Linked DNA regions of Mus musculus. The protein of the gene in region 3 purifies or fractionates together with the protein of the main gene of each other region. This does not show direct contact. Links are inferred from orthologs where the notes say so. Each region holds a gene or a part of one and is shown on either strand. Other genes may lie near its edges.

Region 1 (5,158 bases), on a different chromosome or scaffold from region 3:
CATAAGCAGAGACCTAAGCAAAGGCAGGCCTGCTTTTCAGAATCGGTTCTTCCTGGCTTAAAGCAGCAGCACTCTGCAGGCTAACCTATCCAATTCATGTTCAGACTAAGTGACACTTGGGTTAGCTTTCCAAGTTCCTGTCCAGGTAATTCCCAACACCGTCCGAACTAGGCAAATTCTGTGCAGGGAGGAACTTTAATTTTCCACTCTTATCTCTAGCAACACACACGAACATAAAACAAACATGTTTAAGGGATGGATCTCCAAACATCAAATTAGGTAGTTTAGAAACACTTAAAAATAGGCCAAAAGCTAATGACAGAAAGAGAACCATATAAAATAGGAACCAAATCAAGGCTGGCCTTCCAAAACCCAGGACCTGAAAACCAAGTTTATCACAGTTGGGGCTGTACTTCTTGAGAGGGCATCTTAGAGTTTCACATGTTAATAACATGAAAGGCAATGAGACCTTACCACTTGTTGAGTCTAATGACCACCCTTTAAAGCTATTAGCAGCTTTGGTCACACTTAGAGGCAGAGCCCACATATTAAAGGAGGTTAGAGGGCCTCTTTAATCTGTGTCCATCAGATCATACTACTGCACTCACTGGAGACTACGCTTTGAGAATGATTCTGGAAAATTCTGGGGAGATGTTATAAAGAGTACAGACTCCAAATAAGGAGCAACATTCTACAAACTGCAGGGTTTTCACAAGAAAATCTGAAATGACAAAACCAAAACCAGGGACAAGGGTACCATTTTAATTGCTAATTTCAAATAAAAGCAAGCTTTTATTTTTGTCCTTTATTGCAAAGTTAGAAGACAGGTGGGGTTGAAGAGATAACTCAACAGTTAAAAGTACTAACCGCTCTTCCAAGTCCTAAGTTCAATGTGAGCAATCACATGGTAGCTCACAACCATGTGTAATGAGATCTAATGGCCTCTTCTGGTATGTCTGAGGACAGTGACAGTGTCTCATATACAAAATAAATAATTGAAAAAAAGAAGAAGAAGGAGGAAGAGGGCATTAAAAGACCCTACTCTTTACAACAGCTCATAGTTATAAACAATTAAACCACCCAGCAAATGTTGATAAAGACACTTGAACAAAGTAGAAGAGTGAGCCTGAGCTGGCCCTTTAGGCTATCTTGCACTAGTTACTTAACCTTGAAAAGCCTCATTTTCCTTAACTATCAGAAAACATGCCAAGATCTCTTTTGCAGAGTTATTAGGAAGAAGCTAGTGGGAAATAGAGAGGAATATAATACATGCAATAGGGACTTGGGGGACAGCTAGAAGAAAAAAAGCGAGCTAGAGAGGGACCACAGCGAGTCCAGTGGGGGCAGGGAAGAAGGAGAACAAAGTAATGGCCTGAGTATGAAGGTGTCCTAATAGAACCTGCTACTTTCTATGCTAACCTAAAAAGTTAGGAAACAAATCCACAGGGATGCCTCTGGGTGGCTGCAGTGGCTAGACTAAGAATGACCACCATAGGCTCATATATTTGAATGCTTAGTCACCAGGGAGCAGAACTGCTAGGAAGGATTAGGAGGTGTGTGGCCTTGTTAGTTAAATAAATAAGTAAAAAAGAAAAAGAAAAAACTTGTCATAAGAGTTGCCCGGCCGGGCAGTGGTGACACACACCTTTAATCCCAGCACTCGGGAGGCAGAGGCAGGCGGATTTCTCTGAGTTCAAGGCCAGCCTGGTCTACAGAGTGAGTTCCAGGACAGCCAGGGCTACACAGAGAAACCCTGTCTCAGACCCCACCCCCACCCCCCAAAAACAACAACAACAAAAAAACAGTTGCCTGGTCATGGCATCTCTTCAACAGCAACAGAACAGTGACGACGACAGTGGCCAACATAACCATCCTTATTCAAGACAGGCAACCTAAAAACTATCTTCTTAGGATGCAGTTTGATTTGTTCCAATAGGAGAAGAAGGGAGGAAGGGCTGCAGGTATGAAGCTAGGTATTGCAGGGCCTATGACAGGAGACCAATGGATCTCTATCCTGCTGGACTCTGCTAATAAGCAAGGTGGAGAAGACATCAGGTCTTTTCTCAAGAAGCAGAGCTCACTCAGCCACCATGAAAACCTAAGGAAGAGCTGGCTGTACAACTGGAATCCCCATCCCAGTACTTCCTGAGTCTGCACCTCTGAACTCACTGTATTGAAAACCTGCAGCTTCACCACCTATCAGTGAGTCCACTTTCCCTTCACAGCTCATGCTCAGCATTTTACACAGTACCTCTAAGTATTGCAGAGCGTGATGTGGTCCTTCCGGTCCTAACCACTACAGAGGTGAGATCGATGGCTCAGACTGGAGGACTTTTGTACTGTCAAACAGCTGGTGGGCTTAAAACTAAAAATGTAGGCCTTTGAATGATAAACCAGATTTGATCACTACAAACCATAGAGAGGAGGGAGCACTGCAATCTACCCAGGGATACAATTCTTGTGAAACACTAACTTAAGTGGGGCTAGATGAAAACGAAAATTACTTTTAAATGCTAAAAGATTTAATCGTTAGGAGGGGAATGTTCTCACCCCCCCATCCCCCACCCCAACACATATTTCTTCTCTGTACTTCCCAACTGTTCGCTGCGGGAATTGGAGATGAATGCAGGGGTGGGCAGCCACTAAGAGTTGAAAGACAGGGACGGGGTGGGGGATGAAGGGAGGGTGGTGGTCGGGGAGGAAGCAGGAAGAATCTCAGATGAAAAGCATTCCGTACTCGAGAGGCCACAGTACTCAGCGCGGCTGCCCCATTACCTCATCGCAGCTGCCCAACTCTACGACACGGGCTCTGTTACCGTCCCCGCTTGCAGAAGACAAAATCGAGGCTCGGAAGGGAGAGGTGACCTTCCCAGGACGCCGAGCGAGTGCGGGAGGGAAGCCGCGTTCAGAGAGAAGGCAGCAAGGCTGCGGAAACACCCGAAGCGCTGAGGTCCCGCCCCTCCACGCCGCCGGCAGCCCGCACCCACCAGGGCGGGGCGTCCGAAAATCTCCTTCCGGGCGGCGCGGCCTCCCCTCCCCCGGCCCGTGCCGCGCCGGGGTCCAGCGGCTCAGGGGTCCCGGCGACCTCGGCCGCGCTCTCCCGGCCCCGTCGGGCCCGCGGGCGCAGGAAGGCTCGGGCTGCGGCGGCCCGGGAGCGAGCGGCTCGGCTGAGGGCGCGCCCGGCCCCGGCGGGAGCGGTCCCGGGGGACGGTTGGGGGAAGGGGCCCCGGGGTCGGCCACGCGCCACTCACGCGTCGAACTTGTTGTTCATCCTCTTGCCGCCGCTGTCGCCACTGCCTCACGGAGTGACTTCCGCTCTACCGGGTCCCATCGCTAAGGGCCCGGCTACTTCCGGTTGGCTGGCGAGGCGCTCAGCGGAACGTCAGTGCTCAGGCCTTGGGCGGGGCCTCTTTCCCGGACGGGTGGCCCGGGACGACAGCGCTTGTTCCGACCGGGGCTGTCTTGGTGTGGCTGCTTGCACTGAGCATTGTCTACGCAGGCTGCCGGCCATCCACTTTAACCTCCCCGTGGATTCCAGGGGGAAAATGTCAGGCATAGTAACCTTTAGTAAATGGTATTCTCTGGCAGTTGATCCTTTGCTCTTGGTGTTTGGAGAGGACGAGAGAGCACTACAAACAAACTTGCAATTCTGGCTCTTGGGAAATGGCAGCAGGAAGATCCAGACCTGCCTAACCAACATAGTGAGTTCGAGGACAGCCTGGGATACATTAAGACCTTCCCTATATATTGGGTGAAGTGGGGGGTGGGGGGAGTCGAACCAGGGTGACAAACTTACTGAGGACCGAGATGGTCTCACTCATCATTGCCTCCTCAACTGAAGTCATTGTCCCCACACTCCTAAGGACTGTCCAAAACCACATCACATACACAGGAATAAATTCCCTAGTTGGTGATGTAACTCCAGAGCTATGAGGCACGCATTTTCCTGACCCATCTGCTGAACATATTACATTGTTAGATGTTTATTTTTAATCACCAGAGAGGAGGGGTAGAAATTGATGTTCGTGCCTGTATTTACAGGTGAGGAAAGTGTCCCAGGACTGGCCCGTGGTTGTCCCCTGGTCACTCAGCAAGGTCACGCTTTTTCTCCTCAGGAAGACCTCAGGGGATCATCCTATTGCCTGGCATGTAAGGGAGGCTGAGGAAGCTCTCCTGTCACACCCAGCCCAGTGGCTTTGGGCCTAGCCTTGCAAGTACTCTGGCTTTTGAGAAGAGAGAGGACGAAAGGAATTTGCAGGGCTAGGAGTCTTTCTTACAGTGTCTGAGATTGGATCAGAGATGGAAATTTGAACCCTATAAAGGAGTGTTCTAGAGAGTTCCTCTTACTCTGGACCCCAGCTTGCTCATGTGAAATGTGGGTCAGGTGAACAGGGCCTTTTTTTTTTTTTTCCGAGACACGGTTTCTCTGTGTAGCCCTGGCTGTCCTGGAACTCACTCTGTAGACCAGGCTGGCCTCGAACTCAGAAATTCACCTGCCTCTGCCTCCCAAGTGCTGGGATTAAAGGCGTGTGCCACCACTGCCTGGCTTTGTTTGTTTTTTATTTTATTTTATTTTATTTTATTTTGAACAGTGCCTCTTGACTATCCATACTGTGAAGAATTTCTAACAATGGGGGGGGGGGAGATAGTAAAACTCAAGAAATCCTTTGTGATCAGTGGGGGTGGGAGGAAGTATTACATTAGACGAATGGGACGTACTGCTGAAGGTACACATTTGTGCTGTGGCATCTAGAAGAACCTTGCTAGTTAAAATGGGTTACACTTTTAAAAATTCTAGACCTCATAAAAGCCAAGACTCTGTACTTAGATCCCACACCCCTATCTCCATAAAAAAAAGGCTTTTTTTTTTCTATCTTGTGTATATGGGTGTTCTGTCTGTGCATATGTCTGCACTATATGCATGGGCGTTTTGCAAAGCCAGAGGAGGGTGTTGGATCGCCTGCAACTGGAGTAACAGATGCTACATGGGTGCTGGAAACCAACCCAGATCCCCGGGAAAGTAGCCAGTGTTCCTAACCACTGAACTATCTCCACCCTCACCCCCATCCTTTTTTGAGACAGGATCTCACCATGTACACTGACCTCAAACAGATGGATTTGTCTCTGCCTCCCTAGTGCTAGGACTAAAGGCCCCACC
Region 2 (5,246 bases), on a different chromosome or scaffold from region 3:
GGCGGTACATGTCTCAGCCCCAGTACATAGGAGATAGAGGCAGACAGAGCAATGTGAGTTCAAGGGCAGCCTAGTCTACAGAATGAGTTCAGGACAGCCAGAGCTTTGTGGAGAAACCCTGTTTTGAAAAATCAACCAACCAACCAAACCAAACCAAATTAAAGACACCTTTTCTTGAGAGCATATCCTTGCTCATCAGGGTCAGCAACACCGGAAGCTGGCAGTAATACAGCTCTTCAATGGGCCCTTCAGACTTTCATGCTGCTGAACTTATCTGGTGTCATCCATATTTTCCTTTTCCTTTGTTCTCTCCCCATGTATTAGCTACCTTTCCTGTTGCTGTAATAAAATACCCCAAAAGAATTTGCTTAAGAGGCAAAGGCCTTATTTTGGTTCACAATTCAAGAGTATGGTCCACCTTGGGAGTAGTCACATTGCTTCCAAGGTCAGGAAGTTGAGACTGATGGAACCTTTGAATGTTTCTGTGTAGCTTTTTCACTTAGGTCTTATACACTATAGAATTCTAGCTTATGGAATGGAATGGTATTTTCCACTTTACCTACTCTCGGGTTTCCCCACATCAAATAACATAATCTAGATAATCTCTCATAAATTTGCTCAGATATTTGTTTCCATGATGAATCCAAATCCCATCATGTTGACAGTCAAGATTAATGATCACAGTCAAGATTAATGATCATTCTCTGAATTTAATGCTCTTTTATACAGTCTCTCTTTGAAAGGGAATCAAGACTCAGGAAGGGAGGCAGAGGAGGAAGTTGGTATATATATATATATATATATATATATATGTATGTATGTATGTGTGTGTGTGTGTGTGTATTTTTTTTCCAAGTGTTGAATCCAGGGCTCCCAAACGACTAGGTTGGGAGTCTGCCACTGTGTTCTGAAACTTAAGTTTATGTTGATGGGAAGACCTATGATAAATGCTGGAGGATATTTTGCAGTGATTGTGTGAAACTGAGTGGATCCCAAACACCAAAGGTAGTAGAAAGGCAGGAAAAGACTAATGGTCCCAGAAAGACCCGGGTGACTTGAAATGGTAGATGTACCAGGTTTAGCAAATCAAAGTATATAGTATGTCCAGCTAAACATGAGTTTCAGAAAGACAGCAGATTAATTTCCTGTATTCTGTATTGCCGGGTTTACTATTCGTTATCTCGCAACCCTAAAATGGGAAGGCAGTATATATAAGGGGGTTGTAGGTCCACATGTAGTGGAAGGGTGTAGTAACTTTTTTTTAGTTTTTCGAGACACGGTTTCTCTGTATAGCCCTGGCTGTCCTGGAACTCTGTAGATCAGGCTGACCTTGAACTCAGAAATCGATCTGCCTCTGCCTCCCAAGTGCTGGGATTAAAGGTGTGAGCCACCACTGCCTGGCTAGGTGTAGGAACTTTTAAAACCTTCCCAGCTGTCACATTCCAGTACTCCAGGATGAATTTCCAGTTCTATAAGAAAGGAAACTGCTTTGAATTTCAGCTTTACCATTTGCCCCATGATGGACCAACTGGCAGGAAAATGCTAGACCAAATGCTGTGGAAAAGTTCTAGCTTGGAAAACCAGCTCATAAATGATGTGGAGATTTTTGTACTGCAACCGGGCACTGGATTGGGTGCATCGGACGGTGAGTCATAGGGCCTCTGGCCAGGCTCCAATTAGGGACACCAGTTCAACTCTAGGGCCATAGGAGATGCAGCCAAAGGCCCCACTGTGCGCCTGCGCTACTCAGGCTCCGTCCTCGCCCGGCCCTGCATCCGGGTCTCAGGGAGGGGCGTGTCCGAGGGGAGGGGCAGGCCGTCGAGGAAGGGAACGATGTCGTGGGAAGCTGGAGAGCAGGGAGGGAGTGAGGCGGGGATGTAGGCGGGGCGGGGGGCGGCGCGGCGCGCGGGGTCACGTGACGTGCGTGGCGACGTGTCGGCCATCTTGTGTTGTTGAGGCTGAGGATTGACTTGGGTTCTGAGAGACTCCTGTCCCGGACCGCAGGTAACCAGTGGCTCGGTGTGTGTCTCCCCTGCCCGCGGCCATCCCGCGCCCAGTCCCCGCCATAGCGCCCCGAGCTGCCGTGGCCCGGCGCCCACCGTCGCGTCCCCGCCGCTCCGGCCCGAGCCGGCCGCATGGACACACTCAGGCTGCCCGGCAGCGGCCACGGCCGCTGCCGGCTGGGGGCGTCAGACCTGGGGACAGGGCAGGTGCGAGGTCAGCAGGAGCCTCCTCCCGTGCGAGGGTCCCGGCAGTCCAGGGAGCGTCCCGGCCGAGGGCAGCCCCCTGCTTTCGCCCCCGTGGCATCGCGGGGGAAGCCGAGGAGAGGAGGCGGGAGGCGGGGTGGGCAGTGTCAGGCCGGAGGGTTCGCCTTCCGCTGCCCGCTCCTCGGGGCTGGTCGCCCGCACAGCCTCGGGGTACCCCGGCTAACAGCTGCTGCGAGCCGACAGCTGCTCCTGCCGGCGCTCCTGCCCGCACCTGCCCCAGGGAGGTGCGCCCTTGCCTTCTCCACCGAGCATCTGGACTGGGGAAGACTGCTTCTAGGGCTGGAGGACTGGTCTTGAGCAGGCCCCAGGCAAGGTGGAGTCATGATCTGATCCTGGGACTGAGAGGCTTGGGAAAGTAGAGCCCCGGGCAGCCCCGGGGACCCGAATGTTCATACCGGCTTGAAATGGGCAAGCAGTTTCCCACGAAGCACTCTTGAACACTTTGGTTTTGTAGCTGAAATATAAATCAAGCCAGCAAGTAAGGAAGGGTGTGAAAGGAGCTGATTGTGTGACCGCGTTTGGGAAGCAGTAACGTTGCTTTGCATTTATCTAGTACGGTCTCCCCTCACCTCCAGTTTTCTCGAAAGTCAAAGCACTTAAACACACCTAGTGGTTCTATTAGGAAGGTAAGTATTCCAACATAACTTAAGAAATGAAGGGACTCAATCAGTGATGGCTTCCCACCTAGTCCCATCTACCTTGAATTATAGGTAATTATGTTTCAGAGTGTTGTATACAGGGATTGTAGTCTTCCTTATGTAGTTACTCCTCTTTAGTAACAAATGACTTCCTAAATTACAAAAACTATTATCCTACTTTTTGTACATGAGTTTTCATCCTTTTTTGTGGCTCTGACTGGCAGAATTTTTCCTTTTGGTTAGAACATATACTTTGTCTTCATTTAATGATATTTCCCTAATGTAGCAGCTTTTAGATTGCCTAGACTGGGATATGTACTTCACTGTCACATAAGAAGACACTAGGAAAACATTTAGAAGTGACATATGTCTGGAAAAATACCAACGTTGAAGATGTTGGTGATTTGCTAGAAAGAAAAAGACCATACCTTTTTTGGTACTTGACAAAGGATTTAGAGTTTTGTGGCTGGGGAAGAAGAGATTATGTACTGTATGCTGCCATTCTTGTCTTTTCCTTTCTTTTCTGTTTGACTACAAGTACTACAGTATGTAGTGTGAATGCTGAGGGACAAACATTTCTGTTTGTGTTGCGCTCACTTCTGGACATCTAAATACTTAAGTAAAAATATACAAATACTTCTTGATGTGATGATTGGGCTGTGTCCCTTAAATTGATTGAAAGTTGAAGTATGTAAGCTGAAATTGCATTTAAAGCTATCAGTCTGCTGCCCATTAATAACAGCAAAGCCTCCTATAGAATCTTGATCATCTCCCGCTTGTATGGTTAGATTTTATGTGATTTTGTGACTCTCTGGTCCTAGCCAGCAATGCCAGGGAGTATTGTACTACATACATATTGTTAACTCAGGAAGAAATCATAATTAGAAATATGAAGAATGATTTCTACTGAGTCCATATTGTTTTTACCTCATAGTAGAGTGCAAACTCTTGTTAAGTTGAACATTTCTGTGTAGGGACCATCTGTTTATGTAGGAGTAACGGGAAAAAGAAAAAGAAGAGAGATAGGGGGACTGGATAACAATTGTGGGAAGGGTTAATTTTTAAATTTAGTCCTGTGAGGAGACTTTACAGGTAAGCTAAAATTTGAGGAAACACCTGATAGGTAGAGGGCAGGGTCCTTCACCAAGAGGAAAAGAGGGCAAAGATCCTGAGATGAGAAGATAAAACTTAGGTGGGACCTATCTAAGGCTTGCTAGGAAGAGGACTGAGGCTAACTAGTCTGGGGAGACTGAAAGAAACTGATCAGATGTATTTACCCACCTCTTTGGCAGGAAGATGAGGTGGACCATTCACTGCTCTGGAGTCTTTTTTTTTTTTTGGGTGGGATGGGGTGGGGTGTTTCCAAGACAGGGTTTCTCTGTGTAGTCCTGGCTGTCCTGGAACTCACTCTGTAGACCAGGCTGGCCTTGAACTCAGAAATCTGCCTGCCTCTGCCTCCCAAGTGCTGGGATCAAAGGCGTGCACTACCATGCCCAGCTGGAGTGTGTGTGCGAGCAATCCAGGCTGACCTGAAATTGCCCTTCTCTTACCTCAGTCTCCCCAGTTTCTGAGATCTATGGAAAAGTCTTAAGAAAATCAGGTTTTATAGACTTGAGCCAAGATCCCTCCTTTCCCGTTCATTTGGAAAACTCGGGATGTTCATCTATTTCAGGAATTATAATGGATTTCTTAAAAGTAAGTTTTTAGATGTGATTGGTGTTAGACTGCCTGGAAATGCTTTTTAAAAGGAATGGCTTTTTGTTTTGTTGGTTTTGTTTTTTTGTTTTTGATTTTTCCAGACAGGGCTTCTTGATGTAGCCTTGGCTGTCCTGGAACTTGTTCTAGACCAGGCTAGCCTCTTCCTCCTGAGCACTGTGATTAAAGATGTTTACCAACACTGCCTGGCAAGAAATGGCTTTTAAAGAAGGATATCCCAGCTTCATGATTGACTAGGACATTTTGCAAACTCAGGGACTACCTGGTAACGTGGTAACTAAGATTCAGAAGAGCTAGGAATATAGCTTAGGCTTAGATCACTTGCCTAGCATGCCTGATGACCAGGTTGAATCCCCAGTACTGCCTAAACAAAAAAAAGAATAGAAATTTCAGAATATTTGGAAGTGAGGAACTGTTCTCAGGCACTGGTGATTAAGGAGTATAATCAAATGAATCAGTATATTAACCCAGGTTATCCACAGTTGGTTAGTGAAGAGTTTCTTTTACTTCTATACAGTCCAGCCTAGTTCTAATGGGCTCTCCTAATTTCTGTGGAGATCCCTTTTATCATTTTGCTTGTGTAGAATGTTTTCTATTTTTCTTTTTTTACCTTATAAGCTAGATT
Region 3 (5,150 bases):
AACAAGACAAACCACCCACCCAACCAAGCAAAAGGGCCTGGCTTATTACAATAGGTCATCATCATTTCTAAGAACTAAGGAATCATGGTCCTCAACATAATGGATAAAGCCAGGCCTGGGTGCATGAGAATCCCAGCACTTGGGGGGGGGGGGGTAAGTAAGAGCTCATGGCTAGCTTCAGCTACATGTCCTGATCCTGTCTCAAAAAGGCAGAGAGAGAAAGGAGAGGGTGTGAGGGGAAGAGAGGCTAAGTACCAACTAAGCTACAGCCTTATTTTAAATACTGATAAAAATCAACTCTCAATAAAACTCTAGCTATGCTCTATTCCTTAAAGGGTGGTTCATTTGCAGACAATTTCTAGCTACAAAGTGCTGAGGAGAGATATTAAGGGCAGATTAGTACCTAATCAAAGTCGTTCTTCCAATCCATAGCATCAGTGGCTTAAAAAAGATAGGAAGGGAGCTGGGGAGGGATTGGTGGACAGTTATCTAAGGCATTTTTTATGTAGAGAACAATTTTGGCTACTCACTGTCCTCTGGTCTCTCTGGAACTGACTCCTGTATTAGACAGGGAGAGCCTCTTTCACTGTGGAGAGCTTTAGGGACTCTCCTTGCACTGTCTGGTGCCTGTTTGCCAGCTCTACATTATTTTCCTGTTTGTGCAAGTCTACCTTGAGTTTCACCAAGTGATTTGACACAGAGATATGAGGAGGAGGAGGAGACCATGACCCTTTAGCATTCCCTTAGGGTGAAATGAGAGACTGGTCCTGGTTTATTTCAGCTGCGTTGGAAGAACCAGGTGTTTCCAGCCAACTGGGCCAGCCACATTAACCAAAGGTTGCCAAGCAGTAAATTCCTTTGGTGCAGGCGCTCTCTCTTTTATTCACCAGTGACTAGATGATGCTTAACCTGCTTTGAAGTTGAGCAGTTTCTAGCTTCAAGATTGGTTCTGAAACATAATAACTAGGTATCCTTGGGCACTTAAGCTCCCTTAATGCAGCCTCACAGCCTATAAAATGATACAAATAAACACCCACTCCTTTGATTTAAGGAAGCTAAATGATACTCTTGCTCCAGTGGGCTCAGTGCTTGGAGAATCCAGGGTGTGTGGTCTCCCAAGATACCGTCCTTTTTGTCAAACACTACAAGCACAGTACTTAGAGATCATGTCAATAGCGGCTCTAAGAAGTCCTTTGCCCGAGGCTGCCAGCGCTATAAAAGTTGTAGAGTGTTTACCCCAGAAGGACTGGTTTTCATTTTATCTGTAGTGTTTGAATGTTTACGTGTATTAAAATTTAAAATAAGCATATTTTTGAAGAGGAAAACCGGTTTGGCCAGCAGGGTTACCAGCTTTTTTGCTGAGCTTTTCAATTCTTTCAGATACTGCAAAAACAAGGACGAGAAAACTCTACAGTTATTACCTCTGGTTTTTGTTTTGTTTTTTGTTTGTTTTTTGTTTTGGTTTTTCGAGACAGGGTTTCTCTGTGTAGCCCTGGCTGTCCTAGAACTCACTCTGTAGACCGGGCTGGCCTTGAACTCAGAAATCCACCTGCCTCTGCCTCCCAAGTGCTGGGATTAAAGGCATGAGCCATCACTGCCCGGCATTACCTCTGTTGCTATGGCAGCCCTTCGCACACGGGCCTGTGGGTAGAAACAAAGTAAAAAAAATAATAATAAAAATAAAAATAATAATCCTTTTACACTCGACTCTTAGACTACCTGCCACATCCTACCTTCACACCCGAGGATTCTTCGGGTGAAGTTTATCTACACTTTTCCCGCCCGGGGACAACTAAGGCACAGAGAGGAATAAAAGGCGCGAGTAGGACTGGGCCCGGAGGATTCTCAGCCCTGGCTAGGTCGCTCCCGGTAGCGGTAGCGGGAACGTGAACGCTGCTGCCTGCCCGACCAGGCCCGAGGGGCGGGCCTCAGGCCTCGGTCTCGCCTGAGCCTGCCGCCTGCCGCCCGCCGCCCGCCGCTTCCCGGCCACAGTGCCGGGCGACGCCGCCAGCATGCTGCAGAAGCGGGAGAAGGTGCTGCTGCTGAGGACCTTCCAGGGTCGGACGCTGCGGATCGTGCGTGAACACTACCTGCGGCCCAGCGTGCCTTGCAACAGCCCGCTGTGCCCGCAGCCTGCCGCCTGCCGCAACGGTCAGAGCCGGGGTGGACCGGGAAGGCCCGGGCGGGAAGAGCGAGGGAGGCCGGAGCCGGAGAGGGAAGCCGGGGCTCGGAGAGCGAGAGAAGCCGGGACTCGGAGAACGAGGGAAGCCAGGACCAAAGGAACGAGGGAGGCCGGGGCCTGACGTAGCGAAGGCTGCCGGGCGCGAGCGAAGGGACCTGAGGCCTGAGGAGCGAGGGTGGCAGAGGCCCAAAGAGCAAAGGGAATCCCGGCCTGGCGTCGCGATGGCGGCGGGGCCCTAGTGAAGGAAGCGGGACCCAAGGAGAGAGGAGAGCGGGAAGCTGAGCAGCGAGGGCGGCTTAGCGCTGGCATCAAGGGCGGAGCCAGACCCTCGCGGACTGTAGGCAGCCGGAGCGAGCATAACCGTCTGGGCTCGGCGGTACTGGGGCAGCCGGGAGCGGCCCTGGAGCGTCCCCGGTGCGTCCAGTCTTCCCTCCCAGTGGCCGGCACAGGCAGGACCGGCCTCTGCAGCCTCAGGGGCGCTCCTCTCCGGACCTGCCTGCTACAATAGCCGGGCTAAGTGGAAGAGCCTGCAGGCACCGGATGCTTCGGTTTTTCCAGGGGGACCTAAGGGCGTAGGCACCTCCTCCTTTCTGCCCGAAAATGCTATTGGCACCTTACTCCTGAGCGTATTACGCTGGCTGGACATTTGACATTGCCTGCTCTGCTCCTGCCAGTACGCAGACCCTCCAGCTGTTTGTTACCCCTAGTGGGAGATGAGCGTGAGGGGGTCTTTTCAGAATACATGATTGAGGTCACAGCTTGACCAAGGTGTCAGTTGAGTGGAAGCCCATTGATTGAACAGCGCATCCTTTTTAGGACGTTCTCCTCAACCCTAGAACCGTGTAGCCGTGTTAGGAAGCTTCAGACCGAATAGCCTTGGAATTGTTAGATGCTTACAAGGGGTCAACACACACACACATGTGCACTCTTGCCCTTACATATATATACACGTGTGTATATGTAGATAGAGATATAATGGATATGTAAGTAGCCAACGCAGTCAGTGCTCATGCATGTCTGTGATGGCTTAGTAGAAATTTAGTTTCTTCCAGGGACGTACTTGTTTTTAAAATATCATTCTTTCGAAGAAGTGCTGGCTACAACATAAACCATGTTGGGCTTGTATTTAATCACAGCTGAGGGGAGGGGGAGCAATGGAGCTGAACTTTGAGCCTCCACCAAAGTAGATTTGTCTTGTCTTTTAAAAACTTCAAGGTGAAATTAAGATGAGAAGTTATTTTGCACACCGGGAGCACTGTGACATTGAAATAGTCATAAACCAGGTTTGAAAATGTTACCTAATGGCTTCCACTCTGAATTATGTTTCAGATGGGAAGCTCCTGGCTGCCGAAGTCACTCATTACGTGATCCCAGACTGGAAAGTTGTCCAGGATTACCTCGAGGTTCTGGAGTTCCCGGAGTTGAAGGGAGTTATTTTCATGCAAACGGCCTGTCAAGCTGTGCAGCACCAGAGAGGCCGGAGGTATCTGTTTTGCATTATTTATTTATTTATTTATTTTCAGTACCGGTTCCCCTGCCCCCTTTAGAAAAGGTCCCTTGTTAGAGGGAAAGAGGAGGAATTCATTATTTTGTCAGAAAGGATTTTTGAAACTAATTTGGTATTCTCTTTGCTGGTGAGGAATGTAGTAACATTTTATATGTGTGCTTCAACACCTGGCCAAAAGATCTGACTGTAGATCAATAAACTGCTGGGTCCCCGGGATGTACATAGTTAAGATTCTATGGTGAACTGGCTTCTGGTTTACATTTTCATAGGTAGCACTATTATTTCTTCCTTTTATTTTTGCTAATAATATATAGTATTTAATCTTATTCATAGGTACATTGTTTCAGGAGCATTCCTTTCTTTGGAAAAGAATACTTTTAAATCTTATCTTCCTCTATTGTAGAAGCAAACTGTACTTACCGTGATTTATTCAACGAAATTAAAAATAGCTCTTTCTGATTTTTAGATTAGTCCTGTAACTATCAGCCATAGTAATTGTATTTGCTGAATAAAACATTTCTAATTGGACCAGTTTAAAATACTCACCTTGCACCTAAATGAAAGAATAATTGCCCCTTTCTGTGCAAATTTCTTAGAATACAGTTTTGCTTCATTTAATATTTGGAAACTTTTATGAGAATAGCATGTTAGAATTATATACCCAAACCCTCAACACCCCAAGGTATTTAACAAGCAGAAACTGGATTTATTCTGTTTTTAAGATGTTTTGGTTTCTTCAGCTTTTGGTAGTAAAAGGTAAAGTTTTCTTTATTTGTGTATGAAAATGATAAATTGTCCTGATGCTTAGTTCAGAGAAATATACATTAGCTAGAATGTACGTGGGTTTTTTTTTCAAATTGAATATTTTAAAATGAGCTTGAAGTTGATTTTATTCAGACACAGACATATAGATGTTTACACACAGCCAGGTTTAAACACTGCTGCAGGTGTCGTATTTCAATTTCTTTTACTAAAATCAATTTGTTGTTACCATTCAGCTCGCTCACACACAGCAAGCCTCTTCAACCTCTGTTTTCTAAAATGTTTTTAATATTAGGATTGTTTTGAAAACCAATTCCTGGGACAACCGAAAGCAAAGAGTTGGAATTTAAATGTCCTTTCTCCTGAAGGTTTCAGTAGTTAAGTTGATGAAGAGCTCCTGCTCTTGGGTTTCGCTGTGCTTTTCTGTGTCTACAGGGAAAGCAAAAGGTGAAGAATTGGCAAGTAGGCCCCACCTTTCTGATTTTTCATTAGAGGAGCACTTTGTCAGCTTGCACTGTACTGTTGGTGGCTTTAAGGTAAACCAAGTGCCAGGATACAGGCTTACTCAAATGCAACGATATCAGCCCTGTTTCTAGCAGAAAATGTTCTCCTGATACCCAGGAGCCAGGCCTGGTGGCAGGTACCTGTGATCCCAACAACTGTAAAGTAGAAGGTTCAGGAGTTCTATGTAAGTCTCAG

Evidence for each region.
Region 1: the proteins of Dis3l (region 3) and Eif4e2 purify together in Homo sapiens (affinity purification with mass spectrometry; 3 studies listed by BioGRID and IntAct, with this or other methods). This does not show direct contact. The link is inferred for Mus musculus from reciprocal best matches to the Homo sapiens genes DIS3L and EIF4E2.
Region 2: the proteins of Dis3l (region 3) and Gigyf2 purify together in Homo sapiens (affinity purification with mass spectrometry; 3 studies listed by BioGRID and IntAct, with this or other methods). This does not show direct contact. The link is inferred for Mus musculus from reciprocal best matches to the Homo sapiens genes DIS3L and GIGYF2.

What each region holds. Positions count from the first base shown.
Region 1 is NC_000067.6:87,212,113-87,217,270, reverse strand, and holds the start of Eif4e2 (eukaryotic translation initiation factor 4E type 2), read right to left. Parts: upstream 3,358-5,158; 5' UTR 3,272-3,357; coding exon 3,252-3,271; exon of another isoform or gene 2,781-3,251; coding exon of another isoform or gene 2,776-2,780; intron 1-2,775. UniProt on the Homo sapiens protein: Recognizes and binds the 7-methylguanosine-containing mRNA cap during an early step in the initiation. Acts as a repressor of translation initiation.
Region 2 is NC_000067.6:87,325,089-87,330,334, forward strand, and holds the start of Gigyf2 (GRB10-interacting GYF protein 2), read left to right. Parts: upstream 1-1,909; 5' UTR 1,910-2,004; exon of another isoform or gene 2,005-2,019; intron 2,020-5,246. UniProt on the Homo sapiens protein: Key component of the 4EHP-GYF2 complex, a multiprotein complex that acts as a repressor of translation initiation. In the 4EHP-GYF2 complex, acts as a factor that bridges EIF4E2 to ZFP36/TTP, linking translation repression with mRNA decay.
Region 3 is NC_000075.6:64,337,994-64,343,143, reverse strand, and holds the start of Dis3l (DIS3-like exonuclease 1), read left to right. Parts: upstream 1-1,886; 5' UTR 1,887-2,012; coding exon 2,013-2,151; intron 2,152-2,193; exon of another isoform or gene 2,194-2,263; intron 2,264-2,370; exon of another isoform or gene 2,371-2,596; intron 2,597-2,686; exon of another isoform or gene 2,687-2,855; intron 2,856-3,511; coding exon 3,512-3,665; intron 3,666-5,150. UniProt on the Homo sapiens protein: Catalytic component of the RNA exosome complex which has 3'->5' exoribonuclease activity and participates in a multitude of cellular RNA processing and degradation events.